2 linked regions of the Caenorhabditis elegans genome follow. The protein of the gene in region 1 purifies or fractionates together with the protein of each later gene. This does not show direct contact. Each region holds a gene or a part of one and is shown on either strand. Other genes may lie near its edges.

Region 1 (7,888 bases):
TTATTAAAGGAAACAAAAAAAGATGAAATGTGATAAACATTTGAAATAAAAACAAAAAAAAGTAAACCCGACCAAAGAAAACAGGAAAAGAAATCGAGCTAGATGGATAAGGAATGGCAAATAAACGGACAAAATTAGGATTATATCATTTAGAAATGAATAAGAATTTCTATTTATCAACAACGAATTTGAAAACTAAAAATTGACATGTTTTGGGGAAAGAGAAACGGGATGATGGAAATTATATCGCAGTTTACGAAGAACCCGTGAGTGTAGTGTGTGCAGGTAGACGAAAAGATGGAGTTAGACTAATGTCGGCGGTTTTTCTCCTGAAAATATTAAACATCAAAAAAATGTTGTTGTTTTCTTAATGAATACCTTATGTTGCTCCCGATGGTGATGATCCTTGTGATGATCTTTATGATGTTCCCGATGATGGTCCTTACTAGTTCCTTCACCATGATCCATCCGCCTTTCTCCACGATTCCTTTCTCTGTCCTTCTCTCGATCCCTTTCCTTGTGATCTTTGGCTTCTTTCGGCTTCTCCTCCTTACTCTTATGATGGTGATGGTGATGGTGATTTTTGTGTTTATCAGAAGTTATACTTCTATATCGGTCAGCCATTTCTCCAGGTTCTCTCAGAGTGAACTTGCAAAGAAATATCCACAAATAGTTATACCATTTTCGAATATTTGTTTTTGGCTTCTTTTTTATAAGAGTTTCGAGGTTTTCAAGGAACGAGTCGCCGAGTCGGGTAAGATATTTGGCCTCGTCAGCTTGATTTTTGGCTTCCTGCGCTTCCTTCAGTTTTTTCATGTATTTATGTACCGGCATGCAAAGCTTCACACATTCTGAAAATTCATAAACGTTTTTGATTTTTTTAATGGAATAGATTTGGAGTTAATTTCAACTCAACTTACAATAGATGTTCTTAGACTTTCATAAATGAATATAGGATGATTAGAAGCCAGAGCTGTTATTATTATTTTTTTTCGAATTTCAGACATATGAAGTTTAATTTAAGAATACTATTTTTTCTAAAAATCCACATTTCTTTGCAGTCAAATTCATATCTGAATGTCTTAGAACATATACTGTAAGTTCTGAAATATTTTTTCAAAGTTTTTACCTAGGAATGGCTTGGCACTGCTATCCTCTAGAGCACCTCCATAAAGAGATTTATCAATCGAAAGAAGAGCTAGCTGATCTTTCAAACTGCTGCTGTTTTTCTCTTCTTTCTTTTCTTTTTTCTTCTTTTCTCCCTCTTGAGGAACATTATTCGTATGCCTTTTCTTCTGAAAAATTTAAATTATATTCAATAAGAAGACATTAAATTCCAACCTTTTCTGGTCCAACTGGTACATCATCTGCCTTTCGTTTTCTTTCCTTTTTTTCCGTTGTCTTCACTTTATCCTTGGACATTAGTTTCAACAAATAATCGACTCGAACTTGTAAGTTTTTTCCTTGCGGTTTTTTCGTCTTGTCTTTAATAAAAATCTTATCAGCCAATCCAAGAGTAGGATCCATTTTTATCGCTTCCCAACTACCGTAACCGTACTTCCAGACACCCAGGAGCAATGCCGAGTCATCAGGTCGACTCCAATCAACATCCCAACCTTTTTGTAATTTAGCATTTGCTGGTGGTTTGAATGAAGTTTTCGTTTCTTCTGACTTGAGTATTTCGTGTAATGGTTTCAGCTCAGCATGACTTCGTTCGATTTGCTTCAGATTAACGTCACATGTATGAAATTTGAATTTTCTTTCGATGTCCTGCAAGAAAATTGTTAATAAAATACATATTATTATTATTTCCATAACAAACACAAGTTAGCTTCATCAAAAAACTTTAAACGCGTTAATTAAAAAAATTAATCAATTGTTTTGATCAGAGAAAATTAATATTTTCAATGAACAAAAAAAAAGTTGGCTCAAAAAATTCGAACTAACCTTCTTTTCACTTTCCGCTGCACCGGCATCACCATTTTTCTCGTTACTGTCGAACTCATCGGCTGCTTTTTTGCACGCCTCACTCAAACTTTCAACAAGTTTCTTCATCTCGTCAGTGCTGTGCTCCTCGAGTTCCGCATCTTGAGCAATTTCCTCGAGCCTAAAAACAACACAGGTGGGTGGGGGAAGATTGGGGAAAAGAAAACATGAGAACAATTTAGAGAGTTTAGAAGTTTAGAGAGAAGAGTTACAAAGCAGTGGCACAGCCGACTCAATGAGCTCAGAGGTTAACAAAAAACTAATAAGACATGAGAAGCACGTACCTGTTAAGAGGCATCGAAAACTTTCGGAATGATTTGATAAATCGTTTGATTTCAGGAATTGTGAAGTTTCCCACTGCTTTCTTCTTTTTCTTTTTTCCAGTATCATCTTCTTCTTCATCATCGTCACCATCATCATCTTCGACAACCTGTGGTATTGGTTGTTTTCTTTGTCTCGGTGCTAGATTCATTTCAGCCAACTCCTTCATCCGTTCTTCCTCAAGAATTCGATTTCTATCCTCTTCTGGAATTATAGCCGCCCATTCGTCAGTTGCTGCAGCAATGTCCTTCTCTTCATCGATTGCGAAGTTTGCATATTTAAATGAACTGAGCAGTTCATTCTCTTTCATCACTTCTTCTTCAGCTTCTCGAGTCTCCGCGCCCATCAGGATTCGATCAATATCAACTTCAGGTTCTTGTTCTTCACCTTCTTTCTCTTTGAACAATTCAACAGCTCCAAACTTCAGAATTGCACTAAGTTCTTGTTTATCGAAAGGAACACTTCCGCTGGCAGTTGCATTCTTCGACAACACTGTTTTTCCAGTGGTATCCATTCTTTGAATGACTAAATGATCCAATACAAGCTTCCGTTTCGCTCGTTCAACAATCTCTTCTTCAACAGAACCTTTTGTTACTAGTCGGTAGATGTTCACGGTTTTTGTTTGACCAATACGATGTGCACGAGACATTGCTTGCAAATCATTCTGTGGGTTCCAATCTGAGTCGAAAATTATTACTGTATCAGCAGTGGCGAGGTTAATTCCTAATCCACCAGCCCTCGTGGACAGAAGGAAGGCAAAATCCGTGGATCCCGGAGCATTGTAATGATCAAGAGCTTGTTTCCGAAGATCAGCACGCATAGATCCGTCGAGTCGTTGTGAAGGAAAGCGTCGTAATTGAAGGTACTCTTGTAAAATATCGAGCATCATAACCATTTGAGAGAAGATCAGAACTCGATGACCTTTGTCTTTCAGACGGCATAGAAGCTTGTCAAGAAGGATTAGTTTTCCAGAAGATTTTAAAAGTTGTTGTAACCTTCCTTGGGCATCGTCATAGATATGATCATATTGTCGAGTGAGGGATGCATGATTGCAACACTTTTTCAATTCCATCACAAGATTTACAAATCCATTAATTGATCCTTTGACACCTTTCGATAACTCGCGGTAGTTCTTTGTAAGAATCCATTTATAAAACTGCTTCTGGTGAGCCGTCATGTCAACTCTGAGAATCTGTTCCGTCTTCGGCGGCAACGATTTTTCAACATCTTTCTTTACTCTCCTCAACAAAAATGGTTCAAGCTTTTTGTGCAAAGCAGATATTCCTTTATGATTCGATTCATTGTGAGCTGTTTCAAATTCTTCCCAACAATCGAACTTTTCAGGCATGATGAAGTGAAGAAGAGCCCACAGCTCTTTCAATGAGTTCTGGAGAGGTGTTCCTGTGATTAGAAGCTTATGGTTGAAACGGAACTGTGTGAGAGATTTGTAAAGCAAAGATTCGTCGTTTTTGAGACGGTGAGCTTCATCAACAAGAAGAGCTGCCCAATCAATTGATGACAGGAATGCTTTATCTTTGAGAAGAATTTCATACGTTGTCAGAATTGCATTGATCTTCATTTTCTTCGTTCCGCCGACAAACCATTCGTATTGACGAATCTACAAAACTACTTTTCAATATAAAAATACAAATATTATTTATTACCATATCTCTAGAAACAACATCGCCCATATAAACAACAAGATTCATTTCAGGAGCCCATTGAGCAAATTCTTTCTGCCAAGCAGCCATCGTTGAGAGAGGAACAACTACGAGGTATGGTCCAGCAAGATCATAACGATGAAATAATGAAGCGAGAAGAGAAATCGATTGAATTGTTTTTCCAAGGCCCATTTCATCGGCTAGAATTGAGCTGTTTCCTTTGCACCAAGCGTATACCATCCAATTGAGACCTTCAAGTTGATAATCACGAAGTTTGTGTGTTGATTCTCCGTCGGTTTTCAGAAAATCCGGCATCGACTCAAATTTTTCAAATTTCGGGCGCTTCCGGAGGACCTAAATTATTATTTTTTGTAGAGGTTTAATAATAAAAAGTGAAATAAATTGTCCTTCAAACTAACATTTGAATTTTTATTCGGAGATTTCAGATTTTCAATTCGATGATAATAAGCCTTTATCTGCTCAGGTGCAACCATCTTTTCATCTTCCCAAGTACAATCCGAGTACGGTAATCCAGACCACTTGATAAGATATTCAGTTGCCATTGATCCATCAGCAGCTCGATCTCTTGATGTTTGATGAGCTACGACTCTTTCCACTTTTTTGTATTCTTCACAAAGTTCTTCTGCCATTTGTTGTTCACATTCAAAAAATTCAATGTATTCTTTATCGGCTGACCGCTTCCACATCTCAACTTCTTTTTGCTTTTTCACGTAGTTTTGAACTTTTTTGAGTCCTTTTGCATTCATCAAGGCCAATGAGTTTTCAGACTCCCATGTGTTATGCAGATGACTCCAGCCTGTCCATTTGACAAAAAATTGCTGCTCTGTCTTATCACCGGGAATTTGATCGTTAGGATCCCCTTTATCAGCAATATTATAACAAGTTGTTGCAGAACCCGTTGCTCCAGGTACACCGTGCCGCCATTTGATAACTCTTTCGACAGTTTCAGTAAGAATTGCAGGTCCTTCTGCGGGTACTGCTGGCTCTTCATCCCATTCAAGAACGTCGTCATCGTCGATCTGGAAAAATAAAATATAGGAAACTGCTAAATTTTAAGATTATTTTAGTTTTAGAAAAGGTCTTTAAAATGAAGTTCGGACGAAACTAGTTCCACATTTTAGTTTTACGACTCATACTTAAAAAAATTATTAAATAGCTTTAATTTTAAGATGTTTTTAAATTGAAGCTAATAAATGAAGGAAAAAATAATTTTTGCGGCCTACTGTATCAAAGGCGCATTACTGAATTACATTTTCTAAAAATATTTTTCGCGGAGAGACCACTCGGCGCTATATTTGAATATTTCAACAACTCACGTCATCATCCGAATTTTTCTCGGCATAATTAACATTTCCTTTCACCGACTTCCGTTTTACAACTGAAACTGCTTTTTTCGTTTGCTTGACAACTTTTTTTGTTACTGTTCGCCGTGGTTTTCGTCGATCATCCCAATCATCTTCAGAAGATTGTGATTCTTCGGAATTATCCGACGGTGAATCATCTTGTCGTTTTGATCGTTTTGAACGTCGAAAGTAGTTTTCATTTTCAAGCAGCTGGAATATATTAAATTAATTTCTGTTGTGTTTTTGATCTTTGGACACATACTTTTCTTGTTTCTGCATCCATCCCCCGATTATTATTATTTTTCTTCTTCGGGGCAGGTTCATCTGGTTCTGAACTTGATGAGTTTTCACTAGCATCATCACTGTCGTCACTTTGATCAGAAGAACTTTCAGGTGAATCCGCAGCTGGAAATTGAGTCAAATAAAAATAACTTATTTTTTTAAAATAGTATTCGTGTAATGTAACATTCTTTTTTGTAGTTCACAAAATTTCAGATACTTAAGATTTTAAATGTATTTGATGAATTCTGAAAATAGTTAATATCCAACCTTTTTCTTTTTCATCATTATCTTCACTGGTACTGTTTCCTTCAGGATTTTCTTCTTCCCTCACAGGTTCATCTGTTTTCTCATCAGGTTCTGCATCACTCCCAGATGATGATTCAGACTGATTCCACATATCTGAAATTCTTATTTTTTCTCAACAAAAAACCCCGTAAAAATTCCAAAAAGACGGTAAAATTTAGCAAAATTTTGTTCGATTATATTTATATTCATAAATATTACTATTTTGATAACTATTTTAGCTAATTTTAGCAAACAATCTTATTAATATTCAAATTATTTCATTTTGGCGCCGATACCGTTATATTTACAAGAGGAAAAAAATTCAAAAAAAAAATCAATGAAATCACTGACGTAAAATCAAAAAACTTTTTTTTCAAACATCACTAAACTATAATAAAATAACATCAAAATAATTCAAAAATTCTCAAAAGTATGTGCAATTTGTTAAATACGGTACTAGATCCCCGTTAACATCGGAATAAAAAACAATTGCACTAGGCCCATTAATAGTACTTTCCGGTGCAATTTCCTATATTTTTTTAACTGAAAAGGGTACTAATTAAATTTAGCTGTCTATAGAAAACATTTTAATCGAAAAATTCTGCTTGTGAGCCAAGAAATCGGTCCAAAAAGAGATGCGCACTTCAGAAAAAAGCGAATCGCCCAGCCATGAACACCTCACAACCGCGACGCAACCGCTCGCGATCAAAAGTGCTCGTTACTCTAACCGCGAATTCAAACTTGCATTTTTAGTCAGAATAGAGCCTCCCACATTGATGCTTTTCATGTATTTGTGTGAGAACAACTCAAATATTAGAGACCAGAAGGTTTATTGGCAAAAAAGGCGTACGAAACGCCATAATGAAGGCACCAAACGGTCCTTTTTACATCATAAAACAAGAAAGAAACCGTGAAACAACCGTCAAGTTGAAAATTCTTCGATTGGGAACCCTAGTCGAAGCTGCAAACAATAAATAAATAAATTACAAAAGGGAAACAACGAGGGAGGGATTTGATAAAAATTCTCTATAATTATCCAATTACAATTCAGTCTTCTTCTTCTTCTTTCCGTCGCGGCTGAAACCCTTGAGCCCATCAGTAGAGTGCTTTGAGATGAAGCTGACGAAATCCTTAACTTCGCGTCCTCCATTGTATGGGATCGGGTTCGACTTAGCGTTCTTTGGAAGCCAGAAGAGAGTTGGGAATCTGCAAAATTATACAAATAATTCAGGATCAGCATTGGATAAAATTACTAACCCTCTAACTTCGAACATTGGTGGAACATCATTGGCGGTGGCATCCATCTTAGCAATGATAACATCTTCCTTGTTGAGCTGAAATTACAAAATTTGAAAGTATTTTACAAATTATATCACAAGCCTGAATACTTTAAGTGTCTCCCAGTGTAAACTTAAATATTTAAAAAAGTTTAATTAAAGTTAACTTGTATTTTTGAAAAACCTTTCAGAAAGCTTATCACAAAAGCACTTTAATAAATAAAAAATTACTATGTAAAAAATAACTTGCATGCTAACTTCTATTTTTATTTTTAAGTTTTTCTCACATTCGTGTTTCAAAATAAGTAAAAAATAAACTTTTTAAATGTGAACTATGGGAAGATGTTTAAAAAAAACCAACTGTTGCGAATTCTTATTCACAATACGTCGTATTAATTTTATGTAACAAAAAATTCTACCTTCTCAGCAAGTTCCTCGTATTTTGGAGCCAATGATTTGCAATGTCCGCACCATGGAGCATAAAATTCAATGAGCACATCCTTATCAGCATCCATGATAAGTTCCTTGAAGTTCTTTCCAACGGCAACCTTAACGTCTCCTTGTTCATCTGGGATTGGCTCAGACTTCATGTATGGTTCGGCATTTCCGGCGAGAACTTCATCAACGAATTGCTGGAGATTGTCAACGCTGAAATTATTATTATATTAAATATCGGTTGAAAAACATTGAAATTATTTTCTGATAATATATC
Region 2 (4,518 bases), on another chromosome or scaffold:
TTCGTGTTTACTCTAGAGATGCTGGTGTCTTTTGCACTGTCTCTCACAGGAAAACAACCTCCATTATTATTTTTTTGCCAATTTCAACAGGATTCCATGCATGCCCTCTTAACAAAACCTATTGTGAATTATTAATAACAAATAAAACCAACAACAACAGAATCATTGAATTCCCGGAAACTGAGAAAATTTAGATGGAGAGAATGGAAGTGAATCGAAAGCGGAGGGTACGCGGGAGAAATGGCGAGCTTTGTGTGCGAGCAAATCTTCAGGATGCTTCGTTGGGGCGCAATAGAGAGCATTAATATACAAGAGGACACAGATAGGTTGATAAGTGATTGGACCGGGAGGATGGCATCGAGGAGCACACTTGTCATGAAACACTTGTTCGGCCGTCCGTCCTCCCGGCTAGTTTGTGACCAATTTATCATTGAAATCTGTGAGAATGCATAGAGATTTTGAGGAAAAACCAATAGAATAGTGAATACAAATCACGATAAAAAAGTTCAAAGACAAACACATTTTATTCAAGACGATCAGATACAGAAAAAATTACATGTTGAAAACAGAGTACAACATTTTAAAGGTGTCAAAGAAAGGTAAATAAATAAAACAATAATTTGTAGTTTAACTCCGGGTTCAAATGCCCATGTTTCTTCCTTCGAGAGATACTTTAACAATCCGATTTGCCTTCGATTTTTTGGTTCTCTCTTGGAAATCGCGGAATGTCTGATCATATCTGTTGTTACCAGTGGATTTCTTCTCCTGAAACGCAAAATTGAAGCAAAATTAAAATTTATCTCGAATTTTTTCATAAATTAAAAAATGTATCCACTGATGATAAAAGGGTACTGGAGAAAATCAAATCTGCATTATAATTACGGTAGAAAACATTTTCGGTATAAAAATAGGTCCGTTTTGAGGTTGTTCCACAATTTGACTTTTAGATAGTTACGTAGTAATTTTAAGAATGTTCAAAAATTTACAATTTTTAAAACAAACTTACCCCCTTGAACGCTCCAGTAACTCTCCACTCTGGTCTGATGACGTAATCTTTGGTAGATGGCTTAGGAACACGTGCTCTTGGAATGTATCCCTTGTCTCCAGGTTTCAGATCATCAGATTTCGTTGGCCCCATTTCATCGGCATCCCTGATTCGTGGTCGTTTCGGTTGATCGTCATCATTGGGTTCTTCTTCATCTCGGCTGCTGAAATTTAATTTTAAAAAATATTTCAATTACTACTATTACTTACTTGATCTTCTTTTTCCTTTTCTCCGGCATTCTAGAATAATCCCTTTCTTCGCGTTCTTGCCTTGAAACGGTACTGTAGTCAGTATCTAGGTGATAAATTGGCCTGGCCCATTCTCCAATGAGCTTATTCGCAATTCCTTTATTTTCTTTCGTTTCATTAGGATGCTTATAAAGCATCATGACAGCCTTTCCAAGACCCGATTGCTTCAGTGTACTTCTGTCGAGTTTCCAAAATCGTGGATTATGAAGCAACTTGAGCACAGTTATACGAATATCAAGTGCCGGTAGGCATTTGTCTGGAAGTGGAGCAAGCCATTCGGAAAGAGCACTCATAAAGCCGTTTTCAATTAGAACTTCAACAATTCCAGCTCGAAGCATGATTGCCTTCACTTCAGGAAGCATTTTGATTTTCTGGAAAGCAGGCTTTCGTTCAATATTTGCATTTCTGTCAGATTTCGCCGCGTGTTTCATTCTTTCAACGAGCCGTGAAACGGTACCGTCATCGTCATTGATTATATCAATTCCTCCGTCTTTTCCTCCACGACGAGTTTTCTTCTTACGTTCTGCCTTTTTCTCGGCGAGCATTTTATCGAAGTCCCATTCAAAATGACGTCCATGCCTGTCTACTGGACCATCATCGTCGTCACTGTCGTAGGCAGGCTTTGAAGTTTCCTGACTTTCTTCTTCGTCACGGCCCTCCACAAATTCATCCAAATCATTCGTCTTTTTTGGTCGATCCTCGTCGTCGTCATCGCTGTCATCACCAAAAAGATTTTTTGTGGTTGGCTCTTTTTTGGAGGTGCCTTCATGATCAGAATCATCAGAATCGAGCATTACTCTTCTGAAATGTTAGAAATTAGTAAAACGTAGCAGGTTGACAATATTTAATTCTTACCTTTTCTTTCCTTCTGCATCACTTGCATCAGAGTCTATCAAAGCTCGCTTGTTCGCACTTTCCTCCGCATCAGAATCTTCGTCACTGTCTATCATAACTTTTGATTTGGTTTTGACCGGCGATGGTGACGGTGATCTTGAGCCAGCAGGACTTGCGGCAGATGGACTTGCTGGAGCAGAACTGTCACGAGCTGGACTAGCCGGAGCCTCGAACGATTCATCCTTGTAGATATCCTGAACATCTCCCGATGGTGATTCTGGGGCGTTTCCTTCCGAGCGAGGAGAAATTGGAGCCAATGGGGATGAAGCTCCTGATGAAGCAGGGGATGTTGGAGAAGCTCCATGCGACTCTTCTTCGTGGTCCGACATTCCGCAAAGTTCGAACACTGGAAAAAGTTATTTTCTTTGAAAGAAATACATATAAGGAATTAAAAATAAGGATTGAAATCGTATTAAGAGTAAACAAAGAAGACATTTCTGAAAATGAACATTAAAGGAGCAAAAATTCCAAAGTGATTGATTTAACATTGTAACTTTGAGTCAGATTTTGAGACATTTTATTGAAAGTACAGTTATCTTCGGAACGTAAAAGTATTTATCTATATTTCTATATAAATTCCCGAAAAAAACTACAACAAGATGAGAAAATTCCTTTAAAGGGGGTTATGTAAAAGTGCTGGAAAAATCTTTCGCACATGTAAAATAAAAACAACATTAAATTTTTATAAAATATCTGCGCGAGTTTTAATATGCAATGTACATTTCCACTGTTTTTAATTTTCACTAATAAAAACATACAATGACACAATAAAGCGGGGAATTGCAAAAAGTCGAAACTTGAATTTGATGAAAATTGCGAAAATTCTCCACCCGGAAACGCCAGCAACTTGAAGGAACTTGCAAAGAACTAATAATTTTCGATATGTTGTTGAAACTAAAGAAAAATTGATTTAAAAAGAGAAAAATCAATATGATAACTGGCAGCAAACAATAGATTAGTTTTTTGTTTGAAAAAAAACAAGTCTCTTCATCAACGATAAACAACACGCGCGGCGGGATTTCGGAGCGTCGTAGTCTGTAGGCAAAAATGCCTCTGCGTCTCCACAGGCCCCCGGGGCCCAAACTGCATCCAAACTCTTGCAATATTGCGGTGGCGACCTATCGCCACCCCTAATCCACATTCATGAATAGAAAAAACCGGCAAATATTGTTTAATGATTCTAGATTTTTTGCAAGAGAGCAAGAGATCATATCGTGTTTTTATATCTAGAGCCAAATGTTCATAATAAGTTTTGATCATTTCTTAGTGAATAAATTTCTAGAAAGTAAAAAACAGGATATAATCTGAAAACTCTTACTACCACAGTACCACTACAGTAACCCAACAGTATCCCTTAACTAACTCCAAAAAGAAAACAACTGAAATTTATTATAATTATTTGAGACTACAATTGTGACCTAGGTATTTTTAAAAATATTCATACACTTGCTCATATCTAGAATACACTTTAAAAATTAATTTTCAATTCGCAGTAAAAATCAGTAGTAAAGGATCCCAGTCATTGTGGTAAAAATGTCTACGGTAGCAAACGATCGAAATGGGATAACGTAGTAAAAAGTACGTCCGTAGCAAAAGAGTAGTAAATGTGGACAAATCGTAGTAAAAGATCTAAATGCGGAATTTGTAGTAAAAGAGAAACAGTACATATTTGAACACAATTTTCTTACAGTAGGGTTTTTAAAAATTAAAAATTCTGATTTTTCTTCAAAAAATGTGATGTTTCGGGAACTCTTTTTACAATAAAAGCTGTTTTCAAATAGAAAATGGTTCCATATTTTGCAGAATGTGACATTAATACTTTTCTGTAATAAACTATATATTTAGCGAAGCACCAAAATTGAGTCGGAATCGGAAATTTTAGTGTTTGCTTCGATTTGAATGATTGGTTCAATATCTGCTTTTTCAATAGCTAATATTGCAAAAAAGATAACGTATTTTATTATGACATGGAAACAAACAAACTATTTAATTATTGAAAAAGCGATTCAAAACAAAGTTGGTTCGTCAAGGTCTAATGTACCATAATTCGGAGCAATTGATGGTCCGAGATCTGTCAGAAGTCGTATTTCCAATGGATCAATCTGAATATGTTAAAATTTAAAATTTCAAAAAGCTTCTGGAGAAAAACCTTATAATGAAATTTAGTTTCTGGAAGTAACCTCCATAAAATCATTGAGAAAATAGACCTGAATAAAATTATTTGAAAAGTTATCGTGAAAAAAAAACGAACGTTGGAATAATAAATATCAAGTAACTCCATCCTCCAACAGTCTTACTCAATGGATAATAAAACAGTGTCGTGGTAATTGT

What was found. Proteins that work in one complex are often made in the same cells at the same time.
Region 2: the proteins of chd-1 (region 1) and F13B12.1 fractionate together in Caenorhabditis elegans (co-fractionation; one large-scale study listed by BioGRID). This does not show direct contact.

What each region holds. Positions count from the first base shown.
Region 1 is NC_003279.8:7,009,198-7,017,085, forward strand, and holds the start of chd-1 (Chromodomain-helicase-DNA-binding protein 1), read right to left. Parts: upstream 6,027-7,888; 5' UTR 6,012-6,026; coding exon 5,882-6,011; intron 5,738-5,881; coding exon 5,595-5,737; intron 5,543-5,594; coding exon 5,306-5,542; intron 5,009-5,305; coding exon 4,388-5,008; intron 4,382-4,387; exon of another isoform or gene 4,323-4,381; coding exon 3,972-4,322; intron 3,926-3,971; coding exon 2,271-3,925; intron 2,108-2,270; coding exon 1,948-2,107; intron 1,771-1,947; coding exon 1,342-1,770; intron 1,296-1,341; coding exon 1,130-1,295; intron 852-1,129; coding exon 379-851; intron 330-378; coding exon 309-329; 3' UTR 1-308. Other genes in the region: pdi-3 (Protein disulfide-isomerase), read right to left, coding at 6,940-7,105, 7,157-7,233, 7,596-7,824.
Region 2 is NC_003282.8:10,422,103-10,426,620, forward strand, and holds F13B12.1 (IWS1-like protein), read right to left. Parts: upstream 2,534-4,518; 5' UTR 2,517-2,533; coding exon 2,149-2,516; intron 2,095-2,148; coding exon 1,255-2,094; intron 1,209-1,254; coding exon 1,007-1,208; intron 766-1,006; coding exon 640-765; 3' UTR 508-639; downstream 1-507. Other genes in the region: F13B12.2 (Major facilitator superfamily (MFS) profile domain-containing protein), read right to left, coding at 4,194-4,289, 4,337-4,394, 4,439-4,518.